Drosophila melanogaster: one gene and its partners. The protein of the gene in region 3 interacts with the protein of the main gene of each other region in a pairwise test. Each region holds a gene or a part of one and is shown on either strand. Other genes may lie near its edges.

Region 1 (7,359 bases), on a different chromosome or scaffold from region 3:
AAAAAAACTATAAAAACTTTTTAAAAATTGGTAATTTAACTATTATATAACTCTGTTGTCTTACAAATAGAAGGTCAAGATAGGTATTATTTTGTAGAAACAGTGTTATGAAAGTTAAGAAAAACGGTAACATTGGGTTTAAATGTATTTACCTGTTGGAGAAGTAGATAATGCTCTCTTCTAATAACAAAGCTTTATAGCCAAAAAAAAAAATGTAAGACCATATTTTTCTAAATTCTCATCAAACAACAGGAGAAAACAATGCAAAAAGTCGAAACAGCTGTGTCAATAATTCGATTTAATTGATATGCTATATGATATATATATATATATTATATATATACATATATAATGTCGATGCTAACACTTAAATCAACTACATTGCAAGAGTAGCTTTGATCTTCTATTCTGGAGTCTTGATCCTGGCAGCTTGCCTGCTGGAAAGCATCTTAGCGGTCCCACCGTCGTGGGATGCATCGACTGCACCATGATGCATGACCTTCTCCACCAACAACGTGGAAGGCTTAGCCGAGGGATTCAGCTCCAAAGTCGTTTGAATCGCGAATCCCTTGAACTCGGAATGCGTGGCTGGTGGTACCACTTTGAAGTCCCCCACCGCAAATGGTGGTCAGTGAACGTTTCCCTGGAAAAAGGTCAAGTGTTGTTCATTTTCAAATAGATTACAGCTTTGATTGTTAAATAAAATTCTGCGCTATTTCTGAAAGATCCCTTTTTATTCCAAACTGCCCTTCCTAGAAGGTTTTCTTGAGTTGGTATTTAATTTTTGTGATTTTGTGTTGATCTTTTAGTAGTGCTTAATCGTAGAACTGTTCAAGGCAAGACATATAGCATACTTTTTGGATGACGCTTTTTGACTCAACTTGAATTACCCATTATTTTAGTAGATCAGACGTCGACTTGTAAATTTGAAATAAGAGATATTATTAAATTAAAAGATCAGTTTATCATTGGTTCTTATAAAAATATAATTTTTTATTTATATCATCATGAAATATCTACATATGTATATATCTTTATTCAAATAGGAAAACAACCATTTCAATTGTAATTTTATTTTAATAAAATCTAATCACTCGATTGGGTTTCTCAGTTTTACAATAATAGACAAACGTTTGATTTAATTTTCAAATATATTTATTTGATAAACAGTTTTACAATTGTAAACATTCTAACCATTTTTAACCAACTACTACGCGAACGTTTCCGCGACTGCTCCTGGAGTTGCCTTGCCTGGCGTTGTTATTCCTGCGCCTGCGGTTCCTGTTGGTGTTGGTGGAGCGCCTGCCAGAGCGGCCGTTGGAGCTGGTGGATCGAGCGGTGGTGTTGATCCGAATGCGACGGTTGACGGAGTAGCGCAGGTTGCTAACGCGGACGATCTTTCGGCTTCCGGTTCCGGTTCCGCTTGATGTCGTTGGCGCAGTGGTGGTGGTCGCAACGGTGCTCGTTGCTGGAGCCACTGTGGTTGTGGTGGATGTGGCGGCGGCTGCCTCAGCCACGCACTCGGAATCGGTTGGATTGGTGGTGCAGTTGATGCATCCAGTGACGGTGGGGTCGGCGGTGCAGGTCACCGCCTCGCTGCTCCTCAATAGGCAGGCTGCCAGGACGAGAATGGCGAAGATGATAGTTGCTGCTCTCATAGTGGATTTGTTGATTGGGGATTGTTGATTGATGGTGATGTCGGATTTTGGTTAGGCTTTTATAGTGGCTTGATCGAGGTCAAGGGGCGCTCTTCCTATCTAGCGATTTTCGCTAATATGTACGCAGCTGTTTCTATACGATCATATAAAATATTAGACATTGTTTGCTGCCAAATCGTAAACTATCGGCTGTGAATCCAAGTTGAGAAATGAACTAGTTTCACCTATTTACTCAAGAATAGAAAATGAGTATATTTTAATTTATCTGATTGAAGCCTGGTTTGACTTGTATTCATATATGATAAAACTCTCATCAGTTCGAAATATACATGACTTAAAATTTGTCAAAAATGGTGAATTTTTTCCTAAGTGTATGTATGTTATTAGAAATGGATGACTTCTTCTTTAATATTTGCCTTGTACACTATTTGCTATTGAATGTGTACCCACAAGATGATCAATGCCATCTGTGGATAGTTTTTTGCTTTTCGGTTGAAGGTTGTGTTTGTTTGTTGTACAATACAATTAGTTTAAATGGTTTCAAAATTATTTTAGAATAGAAATAGACTTGAACTTATTTGTGAAATAGATTTTCTTTATACATAAAACAAATGATTTTATCAAAATAAAGTTTTAATTATTATGTATTTCTGAGGTGAAACTATTAACTACCCAATAAAAATTTTTTCAAAGAGATATACTTCACGTTGTCGTTAAAGTACCAATTAGAAGAGATATTTTTAATTTTTGTAATAATATTTTTTCTCCTTTGTTTGAAGACAATATACTTATTTCTACACAGCGAACTCTTAAAAATTTGTTCAAACTATTTTTGTTGTTGGATGCTGAATATAGGTTTTATTTAGTATTTTTTTTTAAATTTTATAAAATCGAATGTTGGCTTTAGCCCGATTGGTTTTGCCTCCTGCGCCTTTGGGCCCTCCTCCTCCTCTGGTCCCTCCTCCTTTGTGCACGCCTCCTCCTTTGAGCGCGCCTCCTGGCCGCCATCCTCCTCCTCCTTCTGGCCACAGCAGCCGCGTTGTTTGAAGTGGGTGTGGAGTCGCTGGGCGACGTGGAGTCACTAGGTGAGCTGGTCGGAGCTGGAGTGACAGTGCCGCTTGGCGAAGTAGGCGTTGTAGATCCCGCCGGGGTCGCATCGGTGCTTCCTCCTGTGGTGGGTGTCGTGGTATCTGTTCCATCTGCGGGTTTCGTAGTGGTATTAGCGGCCTCAGCCACGCACTCCGGATCGCTTGGACTGGTGGTGCAGTCGATGCATCCAGTGACATTGGGGTCGGCGGTGCAGGTCACCGCCTCGCTACTCCTCAATAGGCAAGCGACCAGGACAAGAACTCCTGATAAGATGATCGATGTGGCCCTCATTTTCAGATTGATGGTGTCTTCGGATGGTAGCACGGTCTTATATACCGCTGTGATGATTCCAGGTGACTTATAAAACCAAAGAATATATGCAAATTTACCCAACTGGTGCTATCAAATGATTGTTTTTTTTTGATATCTATTGTATCTATATAATTGTACAAGAAGATGATAGCTAACCAATTGTCATCTGCTGGTGGGGACTTTTGTTGGAAATATATACTTGTTCAATACGTTTATCTTATACAAATAATTGCCAAATTTATTCAGCTGTTCCTATCGACTTTTGGCTTATTTCTCCGAATTCTTCACTCAGAACTTACCCTGATCGGCGTAGTTATTAAAGTTATTAAAGGTACATCACAGGGATGTCCCATCTTCAGAGTCCATTAAATATCTCAATCATTTGGGATTGTTAAGTGCGGCGGATGCAAGTCCATAAATAGTTAATATGCTATTTGTTTAGGTACAATAATCCCCTGTTTTAGATTCATGGCTTTTATGGCATAAATCCAAAGGTTTTCTTTTTATAATACATAATTGAATGCTAGTTTATGCAGCTTTCCATTTGCCAGGCACAAAATAAAGGCAGATATTAATGCAGAAAACTACCAGGCAGAAAGTTAATAGCAGTATTTTGCACTTTAAGCTCGCACTGGGTTAATTTCCCTTATTTGCGGGTATCAAAATTTTATTTGAGTACAAAATATGTTTAAATTTTAGATTCGCGTGTAAGATTTACTTTATGACTTCCCAATTGTTTGGTTGTTTTGTTTTATTTTATAATTATCATGACGTCACATCTTACATCCAAGCGAAGCGAGAACAATGAGCGTGAATATTTTAAATTCATATTTCGCAATTTAACGTAGATGCGCTGACCAGCTCTGATTTTTCAGTTAGTTTCGCTTTTAGCTGATCAGCGAACGGTTGAGCCATGGATTTGTTTAGCTCTCTGCTGCTGTGCCTGGGAATTATTTCATTACCCAATGTGGTAAGTACTTTGTGTAAATTGTTTTTGCACCCTATAATTTTTTAATGCATTTTTAGTTTACGATTTGCATTCCGCCCAATCACTGCATTGAAGATGTGAGTATGATACTGGTCTATTTAAAAACACAATTTAACTTGAACTAACACAATCTATAGTTGCTAGTCCTCCTGATTAAACACACTTTATTTTCTGTTCCACAGATGGAGGAAAGCGATGCGAAAGAGCGATTCGACTATGTACTTGGCAAATATGAGGAGGTGGAAATGAATATTCCCGGAAAACCAGTTGGGTGAGATGAACTTTAGCGCGTGTTTGGTGTTCCACTAATTGGCTTTTCATTTCCACCGCCGGCAGTTTGTATGGGAAAGTGGTTACGCATGGCGAGGCGGAGGAGCAGCACTTGGTGTTCCAGTACATGGACAATACGCTGCATGACATCATCCAGACGTGTGCGTTTGTGGTCAAGCGGAATCCCGGTGAGTGCGAGAACATCCGCACCTACTGCTCGGCCTTTCTGAGCCGCCTGCCACGCCCCCTGCTGGAGCGCAAGCCCATCAACGTGTGTGACGATGGGACGCGAGTGGCGGAGGACGAGCCGGAAACGGAAGCGGAAGACAATCCGGATGCAGATGCTGAGGGGGAGACTGATCCGCAGCAGGAGCAGGGAGTTGGTCAAGCGGAGACCACAACAGCGGAGCCGGCTAGCTCCAAATTAAGTGAATTTTATTGAGTGGGGTGCAATGTCATCCGGCGGTTTGTTCATTCATCTCGACATTTAAAAGACAATTAAACGCACAATTGTAAAATAAGTGCATAAGTAAGTGCAATTGAGATTAATTTTCTTTAACATTCAATTATCCGTTTTAAATATCTCAACTCTTATAAATTTTCACGTATTTTTATGTTTTAAGTATTTAAAAACTAAATTATACAAATAAACGAGTAATGCAATTTGTACGTTGCGTATACGACTTGTTGGCTTGCTGTAGATGGGGTTGATAATGTTTATTATAAATTAATGAGCTTTACAGAGAAAGTGCACTCTTTTTAAAAAAGTAAAACCATCTGATTTATATCATCGGAGAACTTGTAAACTAAGTATTACTCATATTTGACTACAAGTCAAACAAACAGCGCCTAAAATTATGCTTACTTCCAATGTCTACTAACATTTCCCCTTGGCTACTCAATGTCACGGCTTCCCCAGATTGAGTTAGGAAGCTCTGACAGCAACAACTATGCGGCTTTTAGTTCAACAACTGACGGCCAAAAGACTAGACCAGGCCAAGTCCGGCGCCTGCGCCGATCCCACGCTGCACAGTGGGCATATTACGGCAAAAATACAAAAATCAAGTTATTCAATTAAAATTGTTCTCCACCTATTACAAACTTTTTAAAGCTATATGGATCAAACCGCAGACAGATTGCAAACAAAAATAAAATTTATTGACAACTAAATATTTTACACGTATTCAATACAAAATACTGTATAGTAACTAACTAGCACTTAGTACTTAGTACTTTACTACCGAAAACTTAAAAAAACGCCAACATTGGATATTAAGCCACTGTACTCAATGCTGACAGAGAAAACTCTCTTTCCGACAGAAAGAGAGCGAGAGGCTTGTGCCAAATAACAGTAAACAAAGCCCAGCTGCTGCTGCTGGCGGTATAAATTCGGTTTTCAGTTGTTAACGGGGCGCCAAGGCGAACTGGAGCAGCGAAATCGGAGCACCGGAGCAGGAACAAAAGCTCCAAAACGCTGCACACCCACAAAAATTTCGGAGAAGCATAGAGAAAGACCGAGCCAGAGAGATTGCTGGGCAGGCGGTGAGAGCACCTTAGTAGAGAGTTAGAGAGAGATTCTCCCCGAGATAGATTGTTATTTGTGTTTGGCGACAGTGACGGTCCGGTCCCGTGCCGCACAGAATTATCTGCTCAGTGCTAAAGTTGTACTCGTGCTGCGTAGCTCGTGCGGGCAAGGCCGTTTCTCGACACGCCCGCCCACCCACCGCCCCGCGCGCCCTCTGCCACGCCCCCAGCAGCTGGGAGCAGCAGCTGCTTTTCAGTAGTGAAGTGCGTGCGCGTTTCGCGGCAAACGGAATTGCCGCCGGTTGTAAAACAGTCACAGGATAAAATCGAAATCAGTTCAGTTCGACTCAACCCGCTTTTTGCATAATCCAAAACGTAATTCGAAGGGCGAAACTAAAAATGTATAGCGGCGCGTAAATATACTATTTGCTATTTACTTTGCCGTGCAATTTCCAGTCTGAATCGCAGCCCACCCCCCCGTTTATCAACGAAGCGCCAGTCGAGCCGTGTTATCAGCAAACGAAGCGCGACAAAAAACACAGAAAAACGTACTACAAAAAAAAAAAAAATAATAATAAAAATAAAATAGAAAGAAACAGCACAAAGTATATGGGAAACCAAAGTGAAAAGAAAATGCATTTGAGTGCGTGAGAGTGTGTGTGCTTAGGTGAGTATTAGCCGTACGATTGTGTGTGTTCGAGGGCCTCCGGCTCAGCTGAGTGCTGAGTAAACAAACAAAAACCAACCGAAGCCAAACACAGACCCCAGCACAAATACCACCGCAAATACCACCGCCACCAGCTAAATATATGGGAGCCCTCATCCACCCACACACTCGCACGCAATTATTAGCGTTCCCCAAATCCCCCAGAAATGTGCGAATTATGAAATATTTTACCCTTGAATGTCATACGTATTAGAATTAGCGGCGTGGGGACCAGCGAGCGTTACTTTTTAGCAAGTTTTTAATACCCCATCATGCGGTGGATGCTAAGGGTATGTCCAATTTCAGAAGCTCTGGAGTCAAAACGAGCCGAAACGAAGCTGAGATTAGAATTAGAAGCTGAAAATTTGATAAACATGTGCTGTTGAATTTTACTACCACATATTCTTTTATCATTCAGCACTTTATGAGGCCAAGAATGTATAACCTATTTCTTTTTCTCTTATATTTTGTTAGAAATTTGGAAAACTAGATCATACGAACAATATACTATATATCTCAATAGTATATTCATTAGTTTGTTGCCAACCCAAAAGAATCTTTCGTTCAAATTTGAGACAATATCCGCAGACCTCAAGAATGAATGCATTTGCCCACATGTTGGACATTTACTATGCCATAATTTACAATGAGATTTTGTAGAAAACAATTAAGACTATTTCAGATTAGCACATTTTCTACAATTACCTCAGCCTGAGCTAGAAATATTTACAGCAATTTTTTGCATTGAATCGCAGAATGTAACAAATATTATTGCAAATGTTATATTTAGATATTCATTTTAGGTATTAAGA
Region 2 (9,160 bases), 5.9 Mb from region 3:
CGTTGCCATTCTGTATTAGCAGACATCGGACGAGGGCACTAAAATCCGGCTATAGCTTTATTGCCTGCCCAGAGGGCCAAAGGGCCGAAAGGGAAGCGGAAGTTTACTCTATGAGTCCGTGGAGTAAAAGGAGCTCCTACAAACTCCAAAAGTTCAATTGATTCCGCGAAGAGCAAACAATCAATCTGAATTCGATCGTAATATTTGGAATCTGGTCGCTTTCCCTATTCCAAAATGTCGTAAACTCCACTTTGGGTCTCTCTAATCACATTTTCTCTACACTTTTCATTTTATTTATAATGTATCCCTTCGTTTAACTTAATTTTACTTGAATTGCGTAGATAATATTTTTTGGATGATTATTTAACATTTTTGTTAATCATAATAAATATATACCTATTCATATCAAAAGGTACAATGAAAGGTGTACATTTAGTAGTTTTCTTGCTTTTTATTTATATTTCACTTAATAGATGTTGATGGCTTCCTTCTTTGGCTAGATTACATTCTTGCCACAGTTTTCTCAGTGTGATTTCAGCATTTTCTCGCTGTAAAAACGCACGGAAACTGTGTTCATTAATTTGTGTGCCTTTTTTCCCACACCCAATTACAAATGTCATCCGCCAAGTGGGTGCTGCAAGTGAGTATGGTTATTAAACCGGCCAGATATGAATTTACTTTAGAGCCATTGTCTATTATGGCCTGGTTAATTGCGGCGACAGCTGGCAAAACAACGCCAAACCGTGCAAGAACAACAACATCATCATCATCACCATCGCCATCATTGAAAAAGCGAAGTTGTTGTCACCGCGGCAATTGAGCGTCGACCACTGGAATTTATTGTTATAACGGGGCAATGATAACAGGTCATCAACACAACTGGCCAGGTAAATAAATATCAAGGGGGTCAGGGGTTGTATAGGAAACATACACACACAAACATACATAGGTGTGAATGGTGGAGGGAGGTGGCGCTGAAAAGTCCGAAAAATAGGCAGCGTTAATTACAAAGGATCTCCCGCGGGGCCAAGTCATAGTCGTAGAATAGATACATTGTAACCGGTGGATACGAAAATCCTTGTGACTGCAGCACATTTGGCAGCTGGCCGGCTAATACTTGCATTTAATTAGGCTTGCAACAATATTTATGTAAATCGGGCTGGTTGCGCGATGAGCCACAGAGACAGCTGTCAATATTTGTGAGCGGCACGAACGACAACCATTCCGAAAACCATTCCGCCCGTTTTAGCTCGATTGGATTATTGGGCATTTGGCATTGTTGTCCTGCGAGTTTCCCTGCCTGTGTGTGTGCGTATCGGTGTGTGTGTGTGTGTGTGTGTGTGTATGTGGGCGCGTCCTTATCGCTAAGCAAACAGTGCAACATTTTGTCGCCATCGCATTTATTTTTCTTGTCCTCCGCCTGGCGTTGCGCTACAGAGGATTCCCTATTCCCTATTCCCGATTCCCGAATCCCAATTCCGATTCAGTTTTGTAAATTCTGGACCACCCGCGCAATCAGCGACGGCTGCACTCCAAGCAAACATACAGCCACTTTTCCATCCAGACTCTTTTTGTTTTCGCATTTAATTTTGTTGCTTTTCACACCGAATGGAGACTCCGGATGGCATCGAATGGCAGTTTTGCTGTCAACCGCCCAGCCGACTGTATTTGCTGCCAAAAGTGCTGAATTTGCATACCAAACTCGTTCCCCTACCGATCAGCCAAATATTCAGATTGAAAATATTGAGCTTTTGGATACGAATAGCCTAGTTTATTGAGATAGGAGATGCCCCTTTTTGGCTGCCAGTATTTGGGGATATGTGAACATTCTAATCCATTCCAATAATTAAATGTAAATAATAATATTAATGATCAAGAATTTAAACATTTTTCGGTACGCTACAAATCCTTTTCTTTCATCTCTTAAATGTAGTTTGCTTTTAATGGTGGTTCCAACTATAAATATTTTTTGTTACATTTTCCAGTTTGAATTGGCAGATACAACCAATATCGCTGCCCATTTGATTTTGAAAATTTCAACCATCTGACCAAAAATCAAGCCCTTCATGCTCAGTGGAGTCTTCCATTCGAAGATTACTTTCAGGCCTACTACAGTCTTTGGCACACTTTTGGCTGGCACTCGAGCGCCATTCACATGCCACCCAGCCAGGTATTCCATTGTTGGGGCTACGAACAGCTAGCCAAACCTATTGACTGACTGGCGTTCGAGCGGTGTCCGCCATTGAAAGCAGCCGTCCCAGCTGCGAAGCACCTGAGCGGAGATTGGGCCACAAATCGAGAGCCATACAGATACACACATGACCAGATTTCTTCCCCGAGTGCGATCTCAATGCCGCGGTGGCGCCAAGCGGCGCTCACTCAAGTGACAATGTCGTCGAGCAGCCTTTATTGGAATAAATCCAAAGCCGAGTTCCGAGACGAGACCATGACCAGCTGCCCATCGTCATCGCCAAGTTAACAGCGTATTTTGGCCATCAATCAGTGGCGCTTCATCTGCCGATCTTTGGCGTTGGTTGGGTAACTGGTTACTTCGCTGGCTAATAAGCTCAACATACTGATTTATTCGCACTCACTCACGCTGCGCAGGCTGGTGTTTTACTTTCTACCAATTTGTGGCAATTGTCTGGCAATTAGGAGCAGCTACAGTGTTCCCTGTGGGGGCACAGTTTTCTTAACTAAAGATTTGTAATTTGTTGGCCATTGTTGGACGGCAACCTTAGAGAAAGCTAACATTTTCGTTTATAAATGACACTTTTAGGGGGGAATAATAATATAATTCTTCTGGATACAATACGATCTTGTCAGTTGCCATAAAGTGGCTTAAAGGATCCTCAATTTCAAGTTTTTAAGCAGAAAGAAGCTCAGACTACACAATCTAACAGTGAATATAATATTATAAATACTAAAGTTACCCTTTTTTGTAAATACCTTTCGATAGCTAGTCGTGCATATGAAGCATACAATTTCCTGGAAATTTTCATTTATTATTCCAAAAGGTCGAATGCATAATTATTTCCACTGAAAGGGGGGAAGTGTTTTCTATCCGATCGCTTGACAAACGACATATGTCCACGTTTGCAAGTCCATCGGAACTGCAGCCAACTGATCGAGTGAGTCCAAATGATATGATACGGCTACCCAGAAAGCCATCTTCCAGTGACAATTGGCCAGTTGAGTCATGCATTCGGGGCTCGAAACGGACACGCCTTGAATAATTATTTATCTAGGAATTCTGCGTGCGGGCTATCCAGTTTCGGGGTAAAAAGTCTGTTTTGCCAGCCAAATGCTCAATGGCCAGATGGAATAGCGAAAGTCGCTCCGAATATGAAGGGGCCAAATAAAACACACGATTTGAGATATTTTAACATATTTTCAATACACTTTTTGTTCGGCTCATATTGGTGGTACGCTAGTTTTGATAGTTATGTTATAGCTACGATTTAGTTGTATAATTTATTATTGCTTACGTGGGCTAGGCTAGTGTACTAGGCGATGATAGATCGATCCGATGCGGTAGTTTTAGTTATTGACAAAATGCTCTAATTTAAGTTTATGTTCTGTGTAGCAAAACCCCATCACAAATTGCGTAGCAGACAATTGGGACTATGCCTAAATTCGATAACAATTACGAGCTACAATTACAAATACAGTTAATACAATACAATACGTTAATGCGGTTGCTTAACAGCTATGTCCCCCATTATTTCGTATACGGATAAATCGAAAACAAGTTGGAAACAAAAAGATCTGAGATAGCAGACTCTGGACCCCGAGGGATCACCACCCCCAGGCTGTGTAGACTCGTTCTTGGGTATATTATATGGTGTATGTATTTACAGGAATATACAAGAGAGCCCAGCCCAGTCGCCGAGAATCCAGCCCACAGGCTTACACCCCGTACTTGATGCCGTACTCCTGGTAGTGGCCCACATGCGGTCGGTAGTGGCTCAGATTGCTCAGCTGACCCAGCTGGCCCAGGTTCCCGCTAAGCGCCGCATGGTGATGATGGTGGTGGTGGTGGCTACTGATCACCGCCGCCGCTGCTGCCGCTGATGCCGCTGCCACGGATGCGGAGGCAGGTGGACTGGCGGATTGTAGGCTGCCGGTGGGACTACCGGTGTCCAGTTGGCAGGATTGGTTCTGCTCGAAGATCATGTCGCGGAAACCCAGTGCCGATGTGGGACTGCTGGTCAGCACGCTGGAGGATCCTCCACCGCCACCGCCGCCGCCTCCGCCACCGTTGCCCACTCCATTGTGGTTGAGTACGCTGCTGCTGTTGTTGTTATTATGTCCCGGGTGGGTGGGTGTGCCCTGCTGCCCATTGTGAGGAACGGGTTCCGATGGTGGCGTTTCCGGGGTATACCAACCCCCGTGCGCGGGACCATGCGGAGTTGAGATCGTGGTGGGCGAGTGTCCGGACGATTGGCCTCCCGCTCCTTGGCCGCCGGGGGTCAGAGGATGGGCCACGTGCGCCACATGACGCTGCAGTTGCTGGGCATGATGGGCCGCCGCAGCGTGGTGGACATGATGCATCTGACTGCTGGCCACCGTGGCCAAGTTGTCCTCGTTCAAGTGGTAGGGATAGGCGCTGTGATGGATCCGCGGGTTGTACACATTCATGAGTGAGTCCACGGTGAAGCCGGGATGCTCCACTCCGCCGCCAGCCAAGTGGTTCATTTGGGCCAAGCTGTCGTGGCAGGAGTTGAGCATTGCGGCATGGGAGACCTCCTTGCCACTTAGACAACCCAAGTCCATTAGGGGCTCCTTTTTGAAGTGGGCAGCATGGGCGGCCATGTGCTTGGCCTCCAGTATGCCGTTGGTCATCAGCTTGAGGGGCTTCATCTCGGCCAGCTTCTCGTTCATCATGGCCTGCCGCTTGATGGCCTCCTCCTTCTCCCGCATCACATCCTTCTTCTTGAAGCGGCGACGCCGGCGAAGGAAGGAGCCGTTGTCGAACATGTTGTAGGAGTCCGGATCCAGAGTCCAGTAGGAGCCCTTGCCGGGCTTCTTGTCATCGCGGGCCACCTTCACGAAGCACTCGTTGAGGCTAAGATTGTGCCGAATGGAGTTCTGCCAGCCCTGCTTGTTGTCGCGATAGTAGGGAAATCGCTCCATGATGTACTGATAGATCCCGTTCAGGGTCACCTTCTTGTCCGCCGCATTCTGGATGGCCATGGCTATCAGGGCGATGTACGAGTAAGGTGGCTTTACAATCTCCTTGTTCTGGTGCGGGGCACCCAGGCCGTAGGCGCTGGCCGAGTACGGATAGCGGGAGTACTGGTCGTATGCGTAATGTGCCGCTGCTGCAGCGGAGGCGCTGCTGGCCGCCGCCACCGCGGATGCGGATCCGTAACCGGCTGCGGTCTGGGCATAGTGGCGCGTAAAGGAGTTCTGGTCGCTGAATAACGTATGCATGGCGGCGATTCCGGCGGATTTCTGATCGATTTTCCACTGCCGCCTTCTGGTATTTTCGTACTCTCTTGCTTTTGTCTTGCTTTCTTTCTCGAACTTAATCACTTCACCACTGGCTGCTTCTTATTATTTCTAGCGATAATATTTGCTTAAACAAGTCGCTCACATAAGTGCAGATATATAAATCTATATATATATATATATATATATGCATCTATTTGTAGTACAGGGGAAATGGGAGCGCAGAGCGAGCGCAGAACCGTTCGGTATAGTAACACGTCTGATACTGAATCTGTGTAACTGAAATAACACACAGCTCGCATCGAGCAGAAGCGTTTGCGTCGGCAGAGCGTCGCCCGCACCAGAAAGTATCTCGATCCGCTGCCGCACAGTATCTGTGTGTACCCGCACAATGTATCCGTATCTGCATGTGTATCTGCAGCCAACCAACGATGGCTGCCACTCGCAGTCAGTAAGTGAAGTGGGCCCGCAAACACAGCTGCGTCGAAAGTATCTGTGTGTGGCCAAGAGAAAGAGAGAGAGAGAGAGAGAGAGAGAGAGAGAGCGGACGCCATTCATGCTTTCTTTTTTGTATAGGAAAAAATAGTTAGCTAGCTACGGTGTGTGTCCTGTGGGCACTCCTCCCCTACCCGTCGCTTTTCCAAGCCCTTGTTTTTGTTGTTTAAACTAATGCTTAAAATACGGCCTATCGCCCTCTCTCTCTCTCCCTCTCTCTCTCTCACTTCCGCTCTCGCTCGCTCCCTCTATCTCGCATTCATGATATACTAGATACAATGGTAGTAAGAGCGAGCGAGAACCACATCAACTATGAGAGGCACCTGGGAAAGCCAACAGCACAGGCACAAGTGGGTGGAGGTGGTGGTGAACCAGGGGCTGCAAACGAGCCAACCACCCACTTAACTCACCCTTCCAATGACTTCGGCATAAATTAGTGATAAAGTTCTTTCGATCTCAGCTTAAAGTTGTTCGTCTTCTCGGGAGAGGCAGAGACCAAAAAGTTGCCTGCTAATTTGCAGTTTGATGGGTTTTCGCCAAGATGTTCAAGTTAAGGGCCACGTTTGAAGGTTGTTTTCGTTGAGGGCAAGGCATTAAGTTTTTAGCAACTCCCTTTTTCGGGCGCTTGAATTGACAATGGTTTTTTTGGTGTGCAAAGGGCAGGAATTTTTCAGGCTTATTTAAGGTAAGAATTTCAAGAATACTCAGGATATTAGACAAACATGTTTTCCACAGTTTTTCAAGAACTATTGTATCACCCTATATATAGGATCCTTATATAATAAAGATTCATTAAATTGTTGTTCATGTTAAAATGTCCTAAAAAAGAAAACCGAAATTTTTCTAATATCTAAAATGTATCTAATATCAAAAAGAATGAATATATATATGTAGAAAACTTTTCCCTTCTGCAATATTATTATGAAGCGAGTTATTTATTTAAAAATTGCTCTATTGGCGTGATTAGTTTAAATCAGAGATAATAATAATTGAACAGTTAATACAAGTAGAGTTTTGTACCATAAATTTATAACATATTAAAATTGCACTTGTTTTTATGTTATCTCCTATCCGCCTTTTGACTTGATACTCATTCACTCCACATTTCCAAACATCGAAAGGGTTACTAACCAATTTACAAGCCAAATAACGATAGAGTCAAACATAAAAAGTCCTTCGGCCTCGTCCTTCCCTCTCGCGACTCCTCTGCTCGTTGAGTCCTGCAGTGTCGTTTTTTTCGCAGACTTCATTTCTATTTTCTGCTTATTAAAACAATATTTTTTATTGACTTTGTCAGCTTTAAAGTAAATTTCATATGTTTATTTGGGCAAGGGCAAGTGTGCGTGTGGATGTGAGTGTGTGTACGCGAGAGGCCGAATGGGATGGGCTGGGTGTTTGTCTGGTTATTAGACACAGGGAAAACAAACACGCACATATTTATATTTGGATAATTTAAAAGTATGCTGACTATTTTTTATTTGTACTTTCCGTGGCTGTCTGCAAAAACCGAGCGCTTTGCATCACTTTAAAACCCCAATCGTCTGGGTAATTGATACAAGAATAATATTTGGCTCTATTAACGCAATCGCATTATTTTGACAAATATTTTTATTGTTTTAACATAATTTTTCGCATGCGATCTGTCGGAGAGGATGAGGCTATGAATCATCGTCATGTGTGTGTCCAGTTGGCCACATATCCTTTGCAGGATGCGAAAGGATGAGAGTCCTGCATTTGAAATTCGAATGAGGCGACTCCGCCGCCGTATGCTCCATTTTACGCACTTTATTTGGCTTCCTTCTGGTTTCGTTCCATATTTTTTTCATTTTTTCCTCTCGAGTTTCAGGATTGCTGCTGCTGATTTAACAAATTTCGTCTTCGACATCGGCGCCGTGATTGCGATTGTATGGGTTTCGCTGTGGGTGTGAGCAGTTTTTTGTGAGTAACTGTCTACTGGCTACGTCTGTGCATTTAGCGCAGTTCATGTTATTCTTACGTAGTTGCCATTGCCTGTCTGTCCGATTCCCCCATCCCCCATCCTGCACAGCTACAGCTGTCCGTATCCGTACTGCTCTGCCACTCCATCGTATCTGTATCTGTATCTATATCTGCAGCCATCCCACTGCATTTGACCTATCTAAATATTGATTTAGTTTCCCAAAACTGCAACTTAACATTTTCTCCGCGAATGCAGTGAAAGCTGAAAGCTGCTTTTATCTCGAATGTAAAAGTTGTTTACTAGAAAATAATGCAGTTTTGTGAAAAATGGTCGTTATTACGTGATATATTCCTAACATATCTTATAGATATAGAATGACCTTGGTCTTGTCCCTTTCAATAATTAAAAACGCGAATCTGCATAGCCCTATGAAAAATACTATCTTTCGTTAATCGATTATGACTCCGAAATATGCCTTAATTACCCAATTAAAATGATCATTAAACACAAATCGCAGTTCTATCAACTTTAGGCCTTGATGGGCGCCTATTTGACAAGCACAAAATTTGTCAATTTGGCAAGCACATTTGCCGTACTGAAATGACAACCCCCCCATAATTTTGGCAAGTGGAAAGCGAGTTTTGGTAGATGTGTCTCGCCCATTTGCCACGCTCAATTTGCTGCAGTCAACGGAACGTTGACACCGCTGTTGACAAGGAGAAGCATTTGCAGAATGAGGAGCAGCCGGCGAAGAAACGAGTGCCAACATGTGGCCGTTCAGTGCCCATTATTAAATTTTAGCAATGCCCTTTTTGGGCAGAACTCTTTCTTCTCTTTTTTTCGGGTGAGTAATCCAAGAATAATATTGATTTTAAAGTGCAGGGGAGTGCAACTAATCAGACACTTGAACCAAGGACTTAAGCAGCCAAAAAAAAATACAATTTTTTTTCGTTGGGAAGGACAGGAAAGGAAATGCAGGAAAAATGCTGATAAAGCGGTTTCGATCTTTGAAATAAGCGTCACTCACACGCACGCAGAGAGTAAAGTAACGCACACAGATACACGTCGACACACAGATACACGCATACGAACGCACGCTCCGCTGCTCTCTCTCATGAATATGCAACAATTTCTCTTTCTCTCTGCCAATATGAGACAGGCGGCACACAAATACACTCGCAAAAACGACTGCGCAGAATTGAGAAGGGGGCGTGGCCAGCTGTGGAAAGGGATGCAGCGATGGCGTTGCCTACAGTTCGCTCTCTCCCTCGC
Region 3 (9,359 bases):
TTGTATATTTTGCTTATATAAGCGAAAGTTGGCACACAAAAAAGAATAGCTCTAGAAATGTCAGATATATACATATATTTGCCTTTTTCGCTTGTATCTCAATGGAAGTGGTGAAAAGTTGCTGACTTCTGGTCTTCTTGTTAATGCTGCACTTTTTCCCTCTGTTTCGGTCTTTAACTCTTAACCTCTCTCTTTCCGTTTTGACCAACAAATAAAATTTCGGTAAGTCGATGATTTTCGACATTGGTCAGCATTCTTCTCTGAAGGCGAATGCAATTTATTTTGTTCAAGGCAATCTTTTCCGGCAGTCTACTGTTTCGATTGCAGAGCTTCTTCTTGTTCGAGGCCAGCTCTGTGACGATCTTGAGAACTTCTAGTTCGAAACTTAGCTTTGTTTTCGCTTTCTTTCGAGACACAACCCTTTCTCACATACTAGCCTATATAAGTGCGCGAATTCTACTTAGCTATTGAGAAGATAAGCTCGTTTCTAAGTCCGCATTAATTAGGCATTCTGTTTCCATGTGCTTGCTACTCTTATCAACGAAATGTGAAAATTTCAGCAGTAATTTTAGCGCTGAACAGAAACAATTTGATTTTATATTTTCTTATCATGACTGGACCACAATCAAAAGTCGTTAAGCTGAAACATTGATATTTTTATTCGCACTGGAAACGCTTTGTTTGGCCTCATAAACTGTATTCTTCGTAAATTGAATAACCAGTTACACAGAGATCATCGTAAGTATTGTTGTTGGTTTTTCCACCGCCAATCGATTTTCACAGAATTCCCCCGATCGGCGAATATATGTTTATATTGTATGCGTCTGTTTTTCTAGAGCTTTACAGATTCTGCTGTGTCAACTCTTCATTGCTCCCAACTGATACGGATAGTCAGGGGAACCACTCAAAGATCTCTGAATGAAATGGTAGGGGATTTCTTGATAACACCGATCGGAATCTCGGAAATGCAGGGCACGTGACATTATCGCTCTCTACTGGTCTCTCTGAAGACGAGCTAACCCCAACTGGGACTTTCCAATTTGTGGCCTTTCGGAAACCTCTTGCCAATTTAATATAATTGATTATCGACCCGTCAAGTCATTATTTTGAGTTTTTTGTTTTGGTTTAACGAAAGAACATAAAATCCCATGGCATCATAATTATTATTTATTTATTTTTATTTTTGTCAACAGTTTAAGTGAAAAATGGTGCGCTAAGGCTAATCAAAATTGGGCATTTCAGGCCTTATCTGGGCGCAAGTTTACTTTTTTTTTTTTTGCTTTATTTTTTTGGTTACAAAATACGGTGAGATAAGATTGTTGATATGCTTGAAGAGACTTTAGAATGATAGTTTATATTATTAAAATAATGCCAAAATAGAATACTGATAGGCTCGAGCTAACAAAACAAACGCTTTTGGATGTGATCTTTCAAGGAATTCAGCTATCTAGCCATGGATGATATCTAACCGCGATCTTGATCTTACTTCCCAGACCATTTGGAGGGTATTACGGCGGCGACTTCCCACAGAAACCGATAATTTCTTGTTATGGGCACACACAGGCATTTGAGATACTTATGAGGTAATTGAGCGCACGCCCCGGGTACGGGTACATTGTACCGCTTACGGCGGGAAAAAACGCAATGCAACAAAACCAATAAAAACTGCACGCGCATTTTCCCGGGCATTGGGCCTATTTCTGTCCCTCCGGCTACATTGTCTACAAGTCGAGTAGTCGCCGGCGCGCATTTATTATCTCCCAATAGTAATGACACTGACGAGCCATACTCTATTTGACTAGCTGCAAAGTGCAGCAGCAGCAGCAGCAGGCAGGCAGGCAGGCGAAAAAAGTCATTACTTTGCATTTAGACCAGCTGATAGCAGCCTCTTATCAACTCCACATGTGTCCTCCTCCCAAACTGTAATAGATTCTTTTCTTTTGTGCTCGCCCAGCAGAGCTTCCTCTACACAGCGCGCAAAAGTTGAGAGCGAAAATTTATGAAACATATTATACAAATTTATCGTTATAAAGAAAGCGACAGAAATTTTAAATTACGTTGAAATGTATTACAATTTTTTTGTTGTATTGAATCCGTTGCTTTTTAAAGCTAATTTTTATCAAAGTGAAAAACATTTTATTTATTTATACTTGAACCCGGACCATTTCTAAGAAAAAATCACTAAGTACGAAAAAAAACGACGTTATTAATTGAAACTGATACAATTATTGTAAGTATCTACTAAATTTGATTTTGATCTGTTTTTTTTTTTTACCGTGTACAACAGCAAGAACAAGTGAAACGGACGGACTTGGGCTGAATGGACGGGCGGACGACATGTATTCATTACTGTTTCCGCAGCGATAAGCAATAGACGACGGCATCTCCATCTATGAGTACTCCGCAAATGAAGCTCAGCCCGGCACATACTCATTTCATTATATTGAAACAATTCACGATTGCAGTACGACGAGTAGTTCAAGTTGCGGGGGTGATAGTGAATGGAACTACGACGACAAAACAACCGAAACAGAAATCGTTCGCTAATGATAAATTTCTTTTAATTTCTTGGAAAACTTCAATTATCATTATCGCCACCCAAGACAAAACAACTTTGTAGGACAGCGAAACTTCTAAGTTATGAACAGAAATGTTTCCTGAATGCCAGATATAGTCGCAGTCGCTTATCAAAAAAAACCATGTAAATTGATATATTCGAACACAAAAAGTCACTAAAAATTGTCTTTCTCCCAAAACGAGCACGTAACTGCCAAGATAAAAAGCCTTGAAAGCTGCCTTTTCCTTTCGGCACTAGAGGGTTTGTTTGATTCGGTCGTATCGGTCGTATCTATTTGGCAAAGTTTTTTTTTTTTTGTTTTTCTATTGAGTAATGCCATTGGGTTCGGCAATCCAAGAACGTCCTCCACGAAAATGAAACCAAAACTGTGATTCTGGGTGTGTTGTATATTACGGTGTCTGATGTCTGGAAGCCGGGCAGTTCGATTAGATTCTGGTTTGTTTTTTTCACTATACGGTTATTTTTTTTTTTTTTACATTCGAAATTTTGGTGGTGCGGTGAGCGGACATTTTTATGAGGTGGCTTGGGACAGGTTTGATCGTAGGCCAGTTTGTCGGTGATCGGTATTCTCTCAGGTGATCGCATACATATACATATAAATGCGAACCACTTAATATGCAGAGAAAGAAAAGAAAACTGGCTAAATTCCGTGGGACCCTGGAGATCGAAATTCGTTTCTTCATTTTCCTTTTCTCAAATCGATCATCATACTTAGAATTCAGCTCATGAATAAGTTCACGTTTTTTCTCCCCAACTGATAAGCTTAATGTGGGTCATTAAAGTGTTTTTCTTTAGATTTTTTAAAATGCAATTTCGTTTCGTGGAAGCACGACTCTTGCATGTTTAAAATGTACACCGAAATGACTTAATAATCGTATTGAAGATGTCTCTGTAGTCAAAGATCGAAGTTCAAGGAGTTCACCAAGTTTAGTTGGGGCATTGCCACATAAAATTTAGTGAGCTATAATATACATATAAGAGCTACCAATGTATATCTCGGACATTTTCTTATCGTTGCGTTCGAGTTGTCGGCTTTAACTTTCACATACTCGTATAGCCCATATCAAGCATACCTGCTGTAATAAAAGCTCTCAAGTATCAATGGTTCTGTTCTGACTGATATAATATGGGGGTACAAGTTGCTTTTCGCATTTTTAATTGTGCTCGGGAGTGGTAATTTGAACACTTACCGGATCTAAGTCGGAGTCCCATATATCTTTGAGGTCGCCATCGTAGAATTCCATGGTTGGCGCTAGTCAGATGCGCTCTAAGAACTCTTTTAGTTGTTTTTTTTTTATTGCGGTTCGGGGATGGTGTGGTATGGTTTAATTCGGTTCCACTCGGTTGCAGTCACACTAATTTTTCTACTTTAACCCACTTAAGAACTGTCTTCTTATAATTTTTGTAGTTTATGGTATTATACTATTATTTTTATACGATTTTGCTGACTGAAAAGTGGCTCTTTCTCCGCTCTTTCTCTTTCTTTATACTTTATCTTCTTTATTCCTCGTGCGCTCTTCTACCTCTCTTTCTCTTTTATTTTTTACTTTACTTTTTTTCCGTAAAGAACAGTTCTGGGTGATGACTGTTGGTTGCTTCTTTATAACACTTATTAAGGGGAAACCTGTTGCTTCCAGAGAATGTTTTCACTTGACATTGTTATAGTCTGCGTGTGTGTGTGTGTGTGTGACTTTTTCGTTTGTATGTGTATACCGGGCATTCATTCGTATTGGTTGTGGTATTTGGGGTGTATCTGTGTACGGATCTAACTTGGTTTACAACTGTCGGCTGGATTTAACTTGTTGCATGCGCTTTTCTCGTCGGATTATATTTGGCGTTAACATTAATTGAATTATTAACTTTTTTCCCGATTCGGAAACGAAACACTCGATTTTCATAGAAAATAGTTATTATATGTATGTTTAGATTCAACGTTGATAACCATATAATTTTAGTTTATTTGATTTTTCTTTTCGCTGTACTGTGTTTTGGACTCGATTACGATTTCAATTGATTTAATTGAATTTTTTGATGTGTTTTGTGTGTGAATGGGCAGTAAACCGCTTTAGAAATGGCTTTGCTCGGCCCGTGTATAATAGCATTTAATATGTGTAGTTAATATCGTTAACTTTAGCAATAATATTTGTATGTTTGGATGTATGGGATGGTAGCACACAATTAGAATAAACTGTCCGTAGTGCGACTGCAGCCAAAAACGGTACTAAACTAAATGTCGGTGAAATTCTTGTGAATGCGAACGAACGAATCGAAACGTCAGTCCTCTGCTGACGTCGCTGCCGCCGCTCAGTCGCTCTCTTTTCCGCTACAACGCTTTGTCTCTCTTCCGCACGTATAGCGCTCTCTTTCCGTCTATCTCTTTGTCTCTCTCTCTCTGCGCTTATAATGCCGGCAATTTCAGAATTTCATACAGAAAACCTCGAACAATTGATACTTTTGTAATAAAAAAAATAACAAATTTAAATTAAGGATATGATGAATTGATGTTTCCTCATTAAAATGAGAAGAGAAAAGGTACAATAAATGGCCTAAATATACTCTTTCAATTTGAAAAGATCGCTACAAAATAACATCGTATTTCTAATATCCTGTGTTAATAGTGTTATTGATTCGTTAATCTACGGGAAACGTTTGGGGTTGTTGCTTTTCGTTCCCAAAGGTCAACTAATCACATACCTTATGTTACATTTGCTATAGTTTAATTGAATTTATTGACTTCTTAACGTGTTTGGGGTAGTTGTAACTGAAGACTGAAGCCGTGTACTATACATTTCAAATATTGTATTCCCATGGTTCTTGGCCACCAATCTACCCTTGATACTGTGTAACATGCGGGTTAGCCGGCATCGAATCCGAATCCAAATGCGATAGTATCCGACTCTCTCCCGAAAAGCGTGCTCTTAGTGAAACTTTCACGCTCTTTGGGGTTTCGAGAAGTGAATGTAAGTTGATTGTCGTAAGCCGGCTTTGACGTCGTTTTGAGACCGGAGATCGGAGACCAGGGGCCCGAGATTTGAGATTTGAGACCCGGAGCCGCATAGGAAAGGAAAACAAGTTTCTTCCGACGCTATGGGCTGCGTCGACGTCAGCGTTGCGGCAACATTTGTTAACCTGTTTTTTATTATAGATTTTGTGTTGTTGCTGCGAGTATTTGATTTGGCCCGAATGCACGATGGAATAGGACGGGGGGTGTACCCCGCTCTGCAACCAGACCCGACTTTGGCTGCTGCCGCTTGGTAACACTCGCTCCGTTGATCTTGTCAACTTGACCAAGTTATTTGAACTATGCACATGTGCAGACCATAGAGAGTCGGGCCATTCCAACACAGGCGGGCCAAGCCGAGTCATTTGAAGGCTGTTTGCCGGAGCTGGGAGCCAAGAGTTTTGTTCGGAGATCTTTGAGAGCCAGAGCCTATGGATATGGATATGGCTGTGGGGATCTTTGGGGCCTGGCCTGGACTTATGCTGCTGCTGCTGTCGCTGCTGTTGCTGCTGCTGCTGCTGCAATGCTGCGACGACGGCGACGACGCAAAGTGAATGTACTTTCAAACCAAAGATCCGGTTTAAAGCTGCCCGGGCAACAGATACAGCGCAGACAAACGACGATGACAACGGCGATGTTTTCACAAAAACGCTTGTGTAATACATATGGAGAGGCATAGGTATATGACTATAGCTCCGTGCTCCGTGCACGTCATGTATACCCCCGCTGAAAATATACACACAGCTCTCGGCCACTAATTTCTTGTTTGTTGACGTGATTTTATTGTATTCATTTAAAAATTTCAAATTTGAAAATCCCCAATATGGCTTACACCACATAGTAAATTGGCTGGGCCAACAAGACGCCTCTGAGAGGGATCAGATCATTGGTGCGCCCTTCTTTTTCGTCGCTGAGTACATTGATTTCTCCTTTCGTTTGGTCGTAGTGGATTTCCCTGAATTATGACACAGATATTTGTGCGCTGTATTCGATATAGAGAAGAGCGTTTTGTTCGCACTCACTTCCAAAAACATTTCGTTACACTTTCTAATTGGGAAAAAGGTTAAGATGATCTTGTCAAAGTTGATCGATTCCATGGCTTCACATCAATTGACTCTCGGTGTCAATTTAAGAGGTTTATGGTAAATTTGCAAGGGTAGCCTTTCCCTTCTTGTTTCAAAATTTTGTGTATATACGCGCACATACTTGAATCACAATCCCATCAACAACATCATCAATGTGCATTGTGAGTGTATAAACAGCCCCATGAATCGACTAAGTGTGCGAGTGTTTTGTATTTTACACGGAGAGAAAGAGGACATTATTGATAATTTTACTTAACATCAAGATCGAAAGATCTGAAAGCTTAATGTACAGTTTGTAGTTTTGATAACAAATATATATGAATTAATAAAAAAGATTGTGAGCCAGGGTGGGATTTGAGCTCGGACAACATGCCTATATTGATTGTCGAATCGTTTCCGTTAGTAAATAACTTCACTTTATTCACTTTTTATTCACTTTATGGAAATAAAATATTTTTTTAAATTAGATTATTATATTAGATTTTTAAATTCAAAGTAGTGTGATCAGATCAGTCCTATTCTATTATGCAGCTTGGTGTAGAGTTGAACTTCGTTTCAAATGTCAAAGTAATATTCAAAATCTAGTTCTATCTATTCGATCGTGTTATTTCAAAATAATATTACCTGTAGATCCACGTCTTTTTGGCTGTGAAGATTTCTTGTTTATTTTAAATGATGATATCATTGCGATTTAGATAAGCTTCTGTTTTCCTTGCTGTTTAATAGCGTTGAATGTTTGAATGGTTAATATGATGTTTTTTTAAATATGATTTTTGTTTGTGCACTTTAAATCCCTTTTTTTTCAAGTGTACATTAAATTTCATTTACCAGTCGCGAGACTGTGTGTAATAATTCGTCATGCTGGCCGCATTTGAACCCGCATAGCTCGCTGCCGCAGTCTGCGTCTCTGGCCTCTGGTGCTTGGTGTTCACTGTTCGGGGTTTCTTCTCGAGCCGGGCCGGGCCGGGCCATTCCCAATGTTTTTCGTACCCCGAGCCCAACCCCAACACCGCCCCTAATTTGCAAGGCAGCGAGATAATGCGCGCCTCTCTTAACTGTTCTCTTAGTTTGCTTGCCGGATTCGATCGCTCTCTGCGGCTTCAAGTGGATTTTACAGTTATATAGTATATATAGAAAGAGATATTGTATCTTATGGGTTATGGCTGGCACAAATACTTTTCGCCACCGACGACAACGCTTTTTCGTGCATTTTTCTTTATTCTCTTTTAATATTATATATATATATTTTATTTGATTTGTGAATCACGGCAAACAGACAGTTGAGTTGTGGATAAATGGGTGTGTTTTTGCGGGAAAATTAGAGATACAGCTCAGTTGGTGCTGGAAGATGTATGTAGGTGTCTGTTTGTCCGCTTTTCCCCCGCCTGTTTATCTGCCGTAATATTTTAATTTGCACTCGAGATTTCTTTTAGAATATAATTTAGCGTTATGCCAGAAAATTGTGATTAGATTCCTTCGCTGTCATGCCGCTGGGGTTGATAATTTACTAACTTCCTCCTATGAATGAATGTTTGTTATTGCGGGTTCCTGTTATCATTCTAGATTTGCCCCAACGAACACATAAAGACTATAAATATCTGCTACCACGGCTTAGAGCCGTACAATATTTTAATTTCGAGGATTTTAAAGGCTCTGTCTAATAATCTTTAAGAGGAATGCTAGTTCCACACTAAACATACATATGTGTATGCTGATAAGGATTTCCCTTGCAGGACACAAAGGACCGCTTATCGCGTTGGTAAAATGAGTCACTCCATATCGACTCTTATGCTGTGCCTTTCTTTCCCAGCGGGTCACAACATTTTCTTATCGCTAATTATATTTAGCATAAATTTCCATGTGTAGGGAAACCGATGCCTAAGAGACCGATAAATCCATGCGACATGAAACTTTTACCTCGAATTGAATTTCGCTTTCATGTTGATAAGTTTAATTTATTCTTCGCATTGAACAAAATTCTCTTGTTTAATGATATGCTATTATTAGCGGCACGTATGAAAAAGCAGCTGTGCCTGTGGCTTTTGTGTGTTCCTCGGAAAAATACTAGGAAAATGCATAAAAACATATGCCATGGCATCTAAAAATATGTGCTCGTGTTTAGCTATTTCGATAAACGATGGGCACAAAGGCCACTATTTAGCAGGACATTGATCTCGTTCAGGTGAGTTGCTAATTGCATTAGAAACTTAGTCAGTCTCAATTAGTCAGCTCAACTATAGAGTTATTATTGCGGCTGAAAGCGACAGCAAAGTCAGACAAATAAGTCAGCACTACGTTCTGACCCAGTTTCATCATTATCATCACTTTGTCAAAAGCAGACTTCCAGATCATACGCAGTAGCATGGGTAGTATCGCATCGTATAGTACCAATACCTGCCTTTTGGAGATACGATACGCATTTACCTTTGTCTAAAAATAATAAATGATCTCATTGTTGACTGTTTGTTCTCCCTCAGGACTTTTTTTGGGAAACGATCGTGTTGTCATCGTCATATTTTGGGCCACTTGTTTTGGCCGCATGAAAAAGTATCTCTAGAAGACGCTGGCGAATGATATTAACACACGAGGAGATTGTCAATAAATGTACATGTGGATTGTAAATTAAATACACCTATATTGGGTTGCATCTATATATCGTGTCGTGTAAACATACGCAACGCAGCAGACATTCTGC
Region 4 (7,736 bases), on a different chromosome or scaffold from region 3:
GGCTAGCTCCAAAGGTAATCTGCGACAGCTGTGGCGATCCCAGTGTAGAGTTTCCAAGACGGGTGCTATCTCTTAGTGCCGCAACGGGAGCTCTGTTTTCCTTTTGCTTTTCAGCGGCCTGTTTGGATGTGCTCGGTCCATCGTACGCGTTAAACTCGTCCGGCAAGTCCTCCAGCAGCTCTAGTTCGTCTTGGTATTGCAGCTCGAACTCCTCGTTTTCGTCCGGATACTGATCCATACTGGTTTCAAACGAGCGTCCAACAAACAACTTAATAAAATCCTATTATATATAAACAAATTGTTACACTGGTATTTTCGCGCCAAAATGGCAAACATTAACAGCTGTTCGATGGCAGAGTTGCCAACTATCGTTATCAAAGTGATGGCTGTCACAAGCTGATTGATTTAGTAAGCTTAAATTATTTGATTTATTTTATTTATAAATGCATTGAATGTAAATAAAAATACTTATATAACTAGTTTCAATAATTGGTTTTGATATTAAAATTGGTGCAGGCACTTGGTAACTATGGCACATTTTCCAAACAACTGTTTTGTATTGACTTGTTTACCTTTCTCGTTTCTTCTTCTTCCACTTTGTTTACTGATAAAGAAAGTCCGCCAAAATGGAAGTGAATACGAAAATGAGTATTCTTTGCATTCCTTATTTCAAAATCAAAGTCATTATCTATAATCAGTAAGCGAGAGCACATTTCCCGTTCCCTTTTAATTACAGCTAGCAAAATGACAGAAGAAAATGACGATTCATCTGTAGGGCTGTTGCATTCTTTGTTTATATTATATATATATATAAATGCATGTGTTGATTTGAGCATATATTGAACCTCTATAATAGATATATATGTTGAAGGTGGCTTGCATTCGTCACTATGCAAAGCTTTTCACAACTTTGGTGGACGAAATGGACTTATGACACCGCGGACACTTGATGCAGGTTTCCGGATCTAGAAGTCCTTTGATCTTGTGCAGACACGGATGTATCTGCGTTCTCACGTGTTCCTTTGCTGCGATTGGCTCGGCAATATCCAACCGCTGGTGGAGTATCTGAAATAAAGCAAGTAAAATGTCCAGCATGTGTTCTTCGATTCCTACTCACATTGTAGGCCTCCTTCCATAAACTTGATTTGTAGCTCTGTTTTCTGGGCTCACTGTATTCATAAACACGAATGCCATTTTTTACTCGAACAGCATGCGGATACGGCGGAATGCTGCGCGAAAGTTTCCTAGTTATAATTTTGCCTTCAGCAGAAGCGTAAGCTGAATCCAAAATATTTCGTACACTTAATTTGGAATCCGGCATGTGCGAAACGTGTTTTTCGTCGTCGTATAAATATTCGTATGGTAGATCAGAACTATGAAAAACTACCTTGTCCCCCTCCATGGTGTGTTCGATAAAAAAAATTTGAATTGAAGACGTCTTATCACGAAGAGCTTCTGCGCTCGACTGATGTCTACTGAATACTGCAAGCTTCTGGAATGTAGGCAGATCTGAACACTATGACTCATTTTTACTAAGCTGCATTCGCGCGGGAGGGACATTAAATAAAGTCAAAGTTAATTTTATAATCCTAAGCTACCGGTTTTATTAAATTAAATCTGAAAGAATCTCTTGAGCTAGGTAAACAACCAACAAACTTTTTATTAAGTAGTAACTGAAAGTTCAGAAACTTTGCCTAAATTGCTGAGATACTTTTCGAAAACTGTGAGATACTCTGTTGCGGAAGACGGTCACCCTAAAAATCAGCTGTTCGCGTTGCCAACCTGTGAGAATGCGCTCAAATATCAAATATAAAACTTGTATTTTAAGTGCGTGTAAGTAAGTAGTATGTAGTATATATCTAAAAAGGCATCTACTATTTTTAAGTGCTTTAGGCATTTAGCATTGTGAAAATATTTACTTCATCAAAAACCTATCGATATCTTGACATTCAAATACTTTTCACATCCCTCGCTAGAATCGGTCAGTGGATATATAGATAACAAAATAATGCAACTCACAGTTTCAAGGGGATCGGAAGCCCCTGCGGCGCTGAAATCGTTCAGATAATATAAAGTTATATCCACATTATAGAGTTAAGCCCCCCCGCCACGAAAAGAGAAAAACATCATGTGTTGTTAGCTGAAATCCGTGAGCAAAAACCAAAAACAGCTGCTATGATCAAAAAATCGGGCGACTCCTCAATTTGCACACGTTTGTTATAGTTTCGTGTACGCGTAGGAAAATCACAGAAAATCTAGGAAAATCAAAGAGAGAGAAAGTGGAGGAGAGCGAGAAATCGAATCCAAACAAAGCGATTTCGGCTTATTCTTCTATTTCAGCACACAACAACGCAAAGTAAGTGATACAAGTTATTTATTTACGTCATCCACTGATAAGGGAAACCAAAAACAATTGCGGACTGCAAGTGAAATTAATGTTGTGTTAATATCTTCGAATTACTTGCGCTCGATACAATAAACAACTTGTGACCGCAGCTGAAAATAATTGAAGTACAGTGCGTATACGCTAACGAGCACAGTAGTACTCGAAAAAAAGAGAGAGTTGGCATAAATTACTTGTGCGCATGCAATACAATACAATTATACTGAGTTTCAACAATTAGTTTAGTTCTTTGCTGCTAACTACTATTATTCAAAGTGTATATAGCTAAGGATTATATATAGATATTAATTATTATCCATCCCCACAGAATGCACAACTGGCTGGCCTCACATAACGGCGATGAGGATGCGATGGCTGCGCCATCATCCTGTCCTGCGTCCTCGGAAAACGGCAGTCGATTGGAGTCCCGCCGGATCTTTGGCGACATTACCACCAACAGACTGTGGACCTTTCGGGTGCTGATGAACCAGGATCTGGCGCCCAACGAGCAGTTGGCCATAGTGGGTAATTGCGAGGCGCTGGGCAACTGGCAGCACTCGGGAGCGGCTATTTTGTCCAAAAATGAGGAGGACAATGAGTATAGTAATCTGTGGACAGGAGAGATCTATATTCCGCGTCACTGTGACACGGAATATCGCTATATGGTCTGTGCCGTCGATCCCGGCACGGAGCAGCTGATTGTCCGCCGTTGGGAAACGCAATTACAGGTTCACAAATTCATTATGTACTGACCGACCCTATACGAGTAGAGTCCAAAAATCCAGCTGGACCTGGGATCGGATTTGATTTGTATGCACTCGTATGGGATTCATGGTTTGGAGCTAGCCCAATAACATTGCTAAGAGATTCCCTTTCCTTACAGCCCCGAATAGTCAAGGAGTTGGATGAGCAGCCTGCCAAGAATCAGAGTGACATATTTGGCTCGTTCAATGGCCAGGAGAAGGTGGATCGGGGCTGGCTGACCAAGGAGACTCTGGTGCAGCTAAAGTTCTTTTATGCTCCGTTCACGTTTAAGCAGCGCATGAAACGTAGGCATATCCAGGTCAAAGTGACGCCCATGAACCTGAGTATTCCCAGTGCCGGCTGTGATACCATGCTGCCCTCGTCTCCCATGGAGGATTCCTTGTCGAACGACACTCATGATACCAAGGAGAACGGCGGTGAATCCTCCACAGCCTTTGCCTTTAGCGAGGTCGTCACCTTGAGTGCCGACGAGTGCGAAATCAGAAGTCAAGAGCAGTTCGGCACCGGCTGTGGACCCACCGATTTGGTTATATTCCATCTGACCGTTGGAGACTTCGAGAACACGGCCTACCTGATTGATTTGTACAGCTACAGCTCCCGGGTGGCCAAGGAAGATGGTCCACCGAACCACTTGGGCTATCATTATGTGCTGCCCAATCTTTTTAAACGTTCTGAAGGCAACTTGGAGCTGCCCATAACCTGTGCCAAGGGCCATCGACCTCTGGGAATGATGCGTCTTGGTTATCTTATCGTGAAGCCCTCATCGCTGTGTGCTCTAATGGATATGAGTGTCAGCTATGCCCGATACTGGAACAGCAAGTGGACGGGACTGGATGTGGGCCATCGTGGTTCCGGAACTAGTTTCAAGGCCAAGGACGCTGTTATTCGGGAGAATACCATTACTTCTTTGAAGAATGCCGCAGAGCATGGTGCCGACATGGTGGAGTTCGATGTCCAACTTAGCAAGGATCTGGTGCCAGTGGTGTATCACGATTTCATGATCTATGTTTCACTAAAGTCGAAGTGCAGTCTGCAGGAGCACGATTTCCTCGCTCTACCGATGAGGGAGTTGTCCCTGGAGCAGTTGAAGAAATTGAAAGTCTATCACATTGCTGAGGGTCTGTCCAGGGAGACGCGTTCGTTTCACAACGATGATTGTTTAGAGCACCAGCCGTTTCCGCAGCTATGCGATGTCCTGGATGCCCTAGATGTCCATGTGGGTTTCAACATAGAAATTAAGTGGTCTCAGAGGCTAGAGGACGGCAAAATGGAGGAGGAATTCGAGCATGTGGTGGACAGAAATCTCTATATCGATTGCATATTGGATGTCATCCTACGAAAGGCAGGGAATCGCAGGATAGTACTGAGTTGTTTTGATCCAGATATCTGCACTATTCTGAGATTCAAGCAAAATCGATACCCTGTCATGTTCCTAACTCTCGGCAGGACGACGAAATACCAGAAGTATATGGACCCCAGGGGCAACTCCATGGAGCTGGCCGTGTGGCACGCGGTGGCCATGGAGTTCCTGGGTGTTGTGGCACACACGGAGGACCTGCTGCGAGATCCCAGTCAGGTAACATGATCCACTCTCGAATCGTGAATCATTCAGCTACGGACGCTTTTAGGTGAATCTGGCCAAGGAGCGTGGATTGGTGCTGTTTTGTTGGGGCGACGATAACAACTCCAAGGATACCATCAAGCTGTTAAAGGAACTCGGCCTGCACGCCATCATCTACGACAAAATGGATGTCCTGACCACCAAGGAGGTCAAGGTGAGTCCTTGAATTAATTGCCAAACAAAGCATTAATATATGCTATCATTAACTTTGTACTCCATTTACTTGTATCTCCCCCCAGCAAAGTGTGTTCCACCTTCAGGCCAAGGACAGCCAAAAGGAACTGCTCAAGTTGCAGGCCCTGGAAATGGGGCATGTGTGGCACACCTCTGCCGACGGAAACGAGGAGCAGCAGGCATAGAATTTGAATATCGGAACTGCTCGACTATTTTATACTCATCTTTATGTACGAAAATAACCGCCCGGCTTGGACCAAAACTCATCAGATTATTAAATCGGTCATTATCATTTCTTCATTTCGCCACTTAGCTAATTGCATTTGATTTTTATAAATAGGCTTATTACAAGTTACTTAAAATTTGTCCGACCAACGTAGGAACCTTTAAGTGTCTCTTTATCGTTTCCTATTTCAACAAAACTGCTCTGTACTTCAGTACTTACGTTCCCAGCAATCTTTAAAAATACAACTTTTACAAACAATGGAAAGTGTTTGTTTTATTTTCAAAATCTTCAAAATGCACAATGATTTGATTTTTTTTGGTTTTTAACTGGCTAGATGCCATACTGGCATATGAATCTTTTTTCATAAGTACAATTGCCCACATGCATGAGTTTTCGCAAGATTGAAACGCATCGCTCTTGGTCATTATTGTGATGGGGTTCACCAGGACCCCACTCGTGATACAAACAACTTTTTCCGGAGGCTGCAGACACAAAGTCACCGGTTTTTGTGTTTTCGTTGACGCCCAGGAAGTATGATTTCGAATCATCGAGCTTCTCTACGATTGCGTCAAACTCCTGTTTAGTTTTTATAGAGGCTAGGTGACCTCCCATTCGACGACATTTGGCCTGAGCATCCAGCCAATTTAGCTCAACATCTTCTTCGATGTAAAAATATCTATCGCCTATCTTCTCAAATCCTGGCTGTAGGCATTGAACTCCATTTATGGCTGAGAAATAGCCATCCATTTGGGCCTTCATATAATCCATTGTGTTTTTGATCGCCTCAAGCTGCAATTTCGTTCTGTCCAGTTTCACTGTAAGATACCGATTGATGGTCTCCAAAGATTCATGCATGGCAAACTGCTCTCGCTCCATCCTGTCCAGCTTCTCATCCTTTGACAGCTGCGATGCCTTTATGTTGGAAACGTCTGCTTTCAAGGCATCCAGCTGGATATTCAACTGGATCTGATCCTTGCGGGCTTCGTTCGCTAATATTTCCGTACAAGTATTCCATTTGTCCTGGTGGATAGCAACATACTCCATAACTGGCTTCAGGGTGGGGAAGCAGTATCCGTTGCATAGGGCAGGTAATGGCTGAATTTCAATTTTCGCGGTTCCTGCCGAGAATTCATGGCTAACAAGGAGTAAGTTCAGAACTAAGACTGACAATCTAAACATGATTTTATTTATTTAGATGCGTTTAATATCAACAGCTTTGTAGTACTACATAAATGGACTGAGTTTTCTGCTTTTATACGTTTCTATAGGCGCTTATCAATTACTTGATTGCTTTATTTTCTTCAGTCTTGTGTTTCTACTTAAAAAACTATTCAGTAAAAAATAGTTGCTATGTATACAATATTGTGAATTACTTAAATATTATCAAAACGAATTAAAAGTAATTTTTTAAATAATTCTTTAAATATGAAATTTGAAAAGGCTTTCTACATCACTCATACGCAGTGTTGCACATTGGCGCCATACTCAAGTGAATGTCAGAGCAAAAGAAAATGAAAAATGGAAGAGTGACACTGCGCATGCACTCGATTCTGAGATGAAAAACAAATCAACATCCCTCCACAGAGAGAGCATGAAAATTTCATCGGTGTTGGTTCGGTTTGTTCGGATTCCTTTTCAGTTTGTTAAATCGCCTCGAACGGTTCGGAACGCGCGCGCTCGAAGAGATCGGACGGCCAACTCCCCGGAAAGAAAGAAAAATAGTGGAAGGAGGCGCCCCCACAAGGCGAACGAGTGTAGTGTAGTAGTGAAATAGTCCTCGATTTAGTTTACCCCTTTTCCGCAATTTTCACCAAGCCCGAAACATTGGATTTCCTGTGATTTTCCGACTTTTCCTGCGACCAGACTCCCCAAAATCCCCAGTATCGGAACTATGTTTATGGGCAGAGCGCAACGAGGCCGCAGGATGAGAGAATAGGTGAGAATGGGTGAGAAATTTGAGAAGGCGGGACAGGGATATGGATATGAATATGGTTTTCTTCCACGGCGAATGACTATGGGGTATATATCGGGGCAGGTTGAGGAGTTCTACTTAACATCAGCCTTTAAAGTCGATCCTGCGGTGGCGGACAATAAGGAAGTTTGTGATACACCAAAAACGGAAAAATCGATGCGTGCGCGACAACAACACACACGTGTATGTCCTGCTGTGTGTGTGTATATCAAGTATACGCCAAGTTAACCGAGGCAGGCAACTTCATACCACAACAAAAACACGCTACTTACAAAACACTCCTGACCTACTGTGTGTGCACCACCCCTTCCATTTCCATTTCCCTTCGCCACCCCCCATTTCCCCAGCTTTTCCCCACAGGAGGCAGTTAAGCCACCTTCTAACTACTTTACTTGCGTGTAATGTTCTTTCTGGTGGAAGGAAAGTCGGTTAAAAAAATATCGTTGGTGGGAAGAAAAATGCCGAAACCCATTTTAAATACTTCTGGTTGTGGCCAAAAATTGTGTGTTTTCTAGGGGAGCTTACAAGTTGGCCCCCGCTCATTAGAAGTGAATAAATAATGCGGCTAAATATATACGTACATATATGTGCACCA

The links.
Region 1: the proteins of CrebA (region 3) and Jig interact in a two-hybrid assay, tested with the Drosophila melanogaster proteins (one large-scale study listed by BioGRID).
Region 2: the proteins of CrebA (region 3) and croc interact in a two-hybrid assay, tested with the Drosophila melanogaster proteins (one large-scale study listed by BioGRID).
Region 4: the proteins of CrebA (region 3) and CG31955 interact in a two-hybrid assay, tested with the Drosophila melanogaster proteins (one large-scale study listed by BioGRID).

The regions. Positions count from the first base shown.
Region 1 is NT_033777.3:14,556,661-14,564,019, reverse strand, and holds Jig (Jig), read right to left. Parts: upstream 3,086-7,359; 5' UTR 3,039-3,085; coding exon 2,562-3,038; 3' UTR 2,499-2,561; downstream 1-2,498. Other genes in the region: CG14851 (uncharacterized protein), read right to left, coding at 1,200-1,658; CG14854 (uncharacterized protein), read left to right, coding at 3,973-4,029, 4,086-4,124, 4,230-4,318, 4,384-4,759.
Region 2 is NT_037436.4:21,470,759-21,479,918, forward strand, and holds croc (crocodile), read right to left. Parts: upstream 5,722-9,160; 5' UTR 5,437-5,721; coding exon 3,910-5,436; 3' UTR 3,375-3,909; downstream 1-3,374. UniProt on the Drosophila melanogaster protein: Required for the establishment of head structures.
Region 3 is NT_037436.4:15,530,865-15,540,223, reverse strand, and holds the start of CrebA (Cyclic-AMP response element binding protein A), read right to left. Parts: upstream 4,830-9,359; 5' UTR 3,823-4,829; coding exon 3,769-3,822; intron 1-3,768. UniProt on the Drosophila melanogaster protein: Transcriptional activator. Binds to fat body-specific enhancers of alcohol dehydrogenase (ADH) and yolk protein genes. BBF-2 may play a role in fat body gene expression. It binds the consensus sequence 5'-T[AC]NACGTAN[TG]C-3'.
Region 4 is NT_033779.5:3,711,381-3,719,116, forward strand, and holds CG31955 (uncharacterized protein), read right to left. Parts: upstream 1,487-7,736; 5' UTR 1,403-1,486; coding exon 1,118-1,402; intron 1,066-1,117; coding exon 889-1,065; 3' UTR 846-888; exon of another isoform or gene 774-845; intron 689-773; 3' UTR 501-688; downstream 1-500. Other genes in the region: cutlet, read right to left, coding at 1-238; CG2818 (uncharacterized protein), read left to right, coding at 2,713-3,111, 3,267-4,724, 4,777-4,923, 5,009-5,128; lectin-24A, read right to left, coding at 5,500-6,348.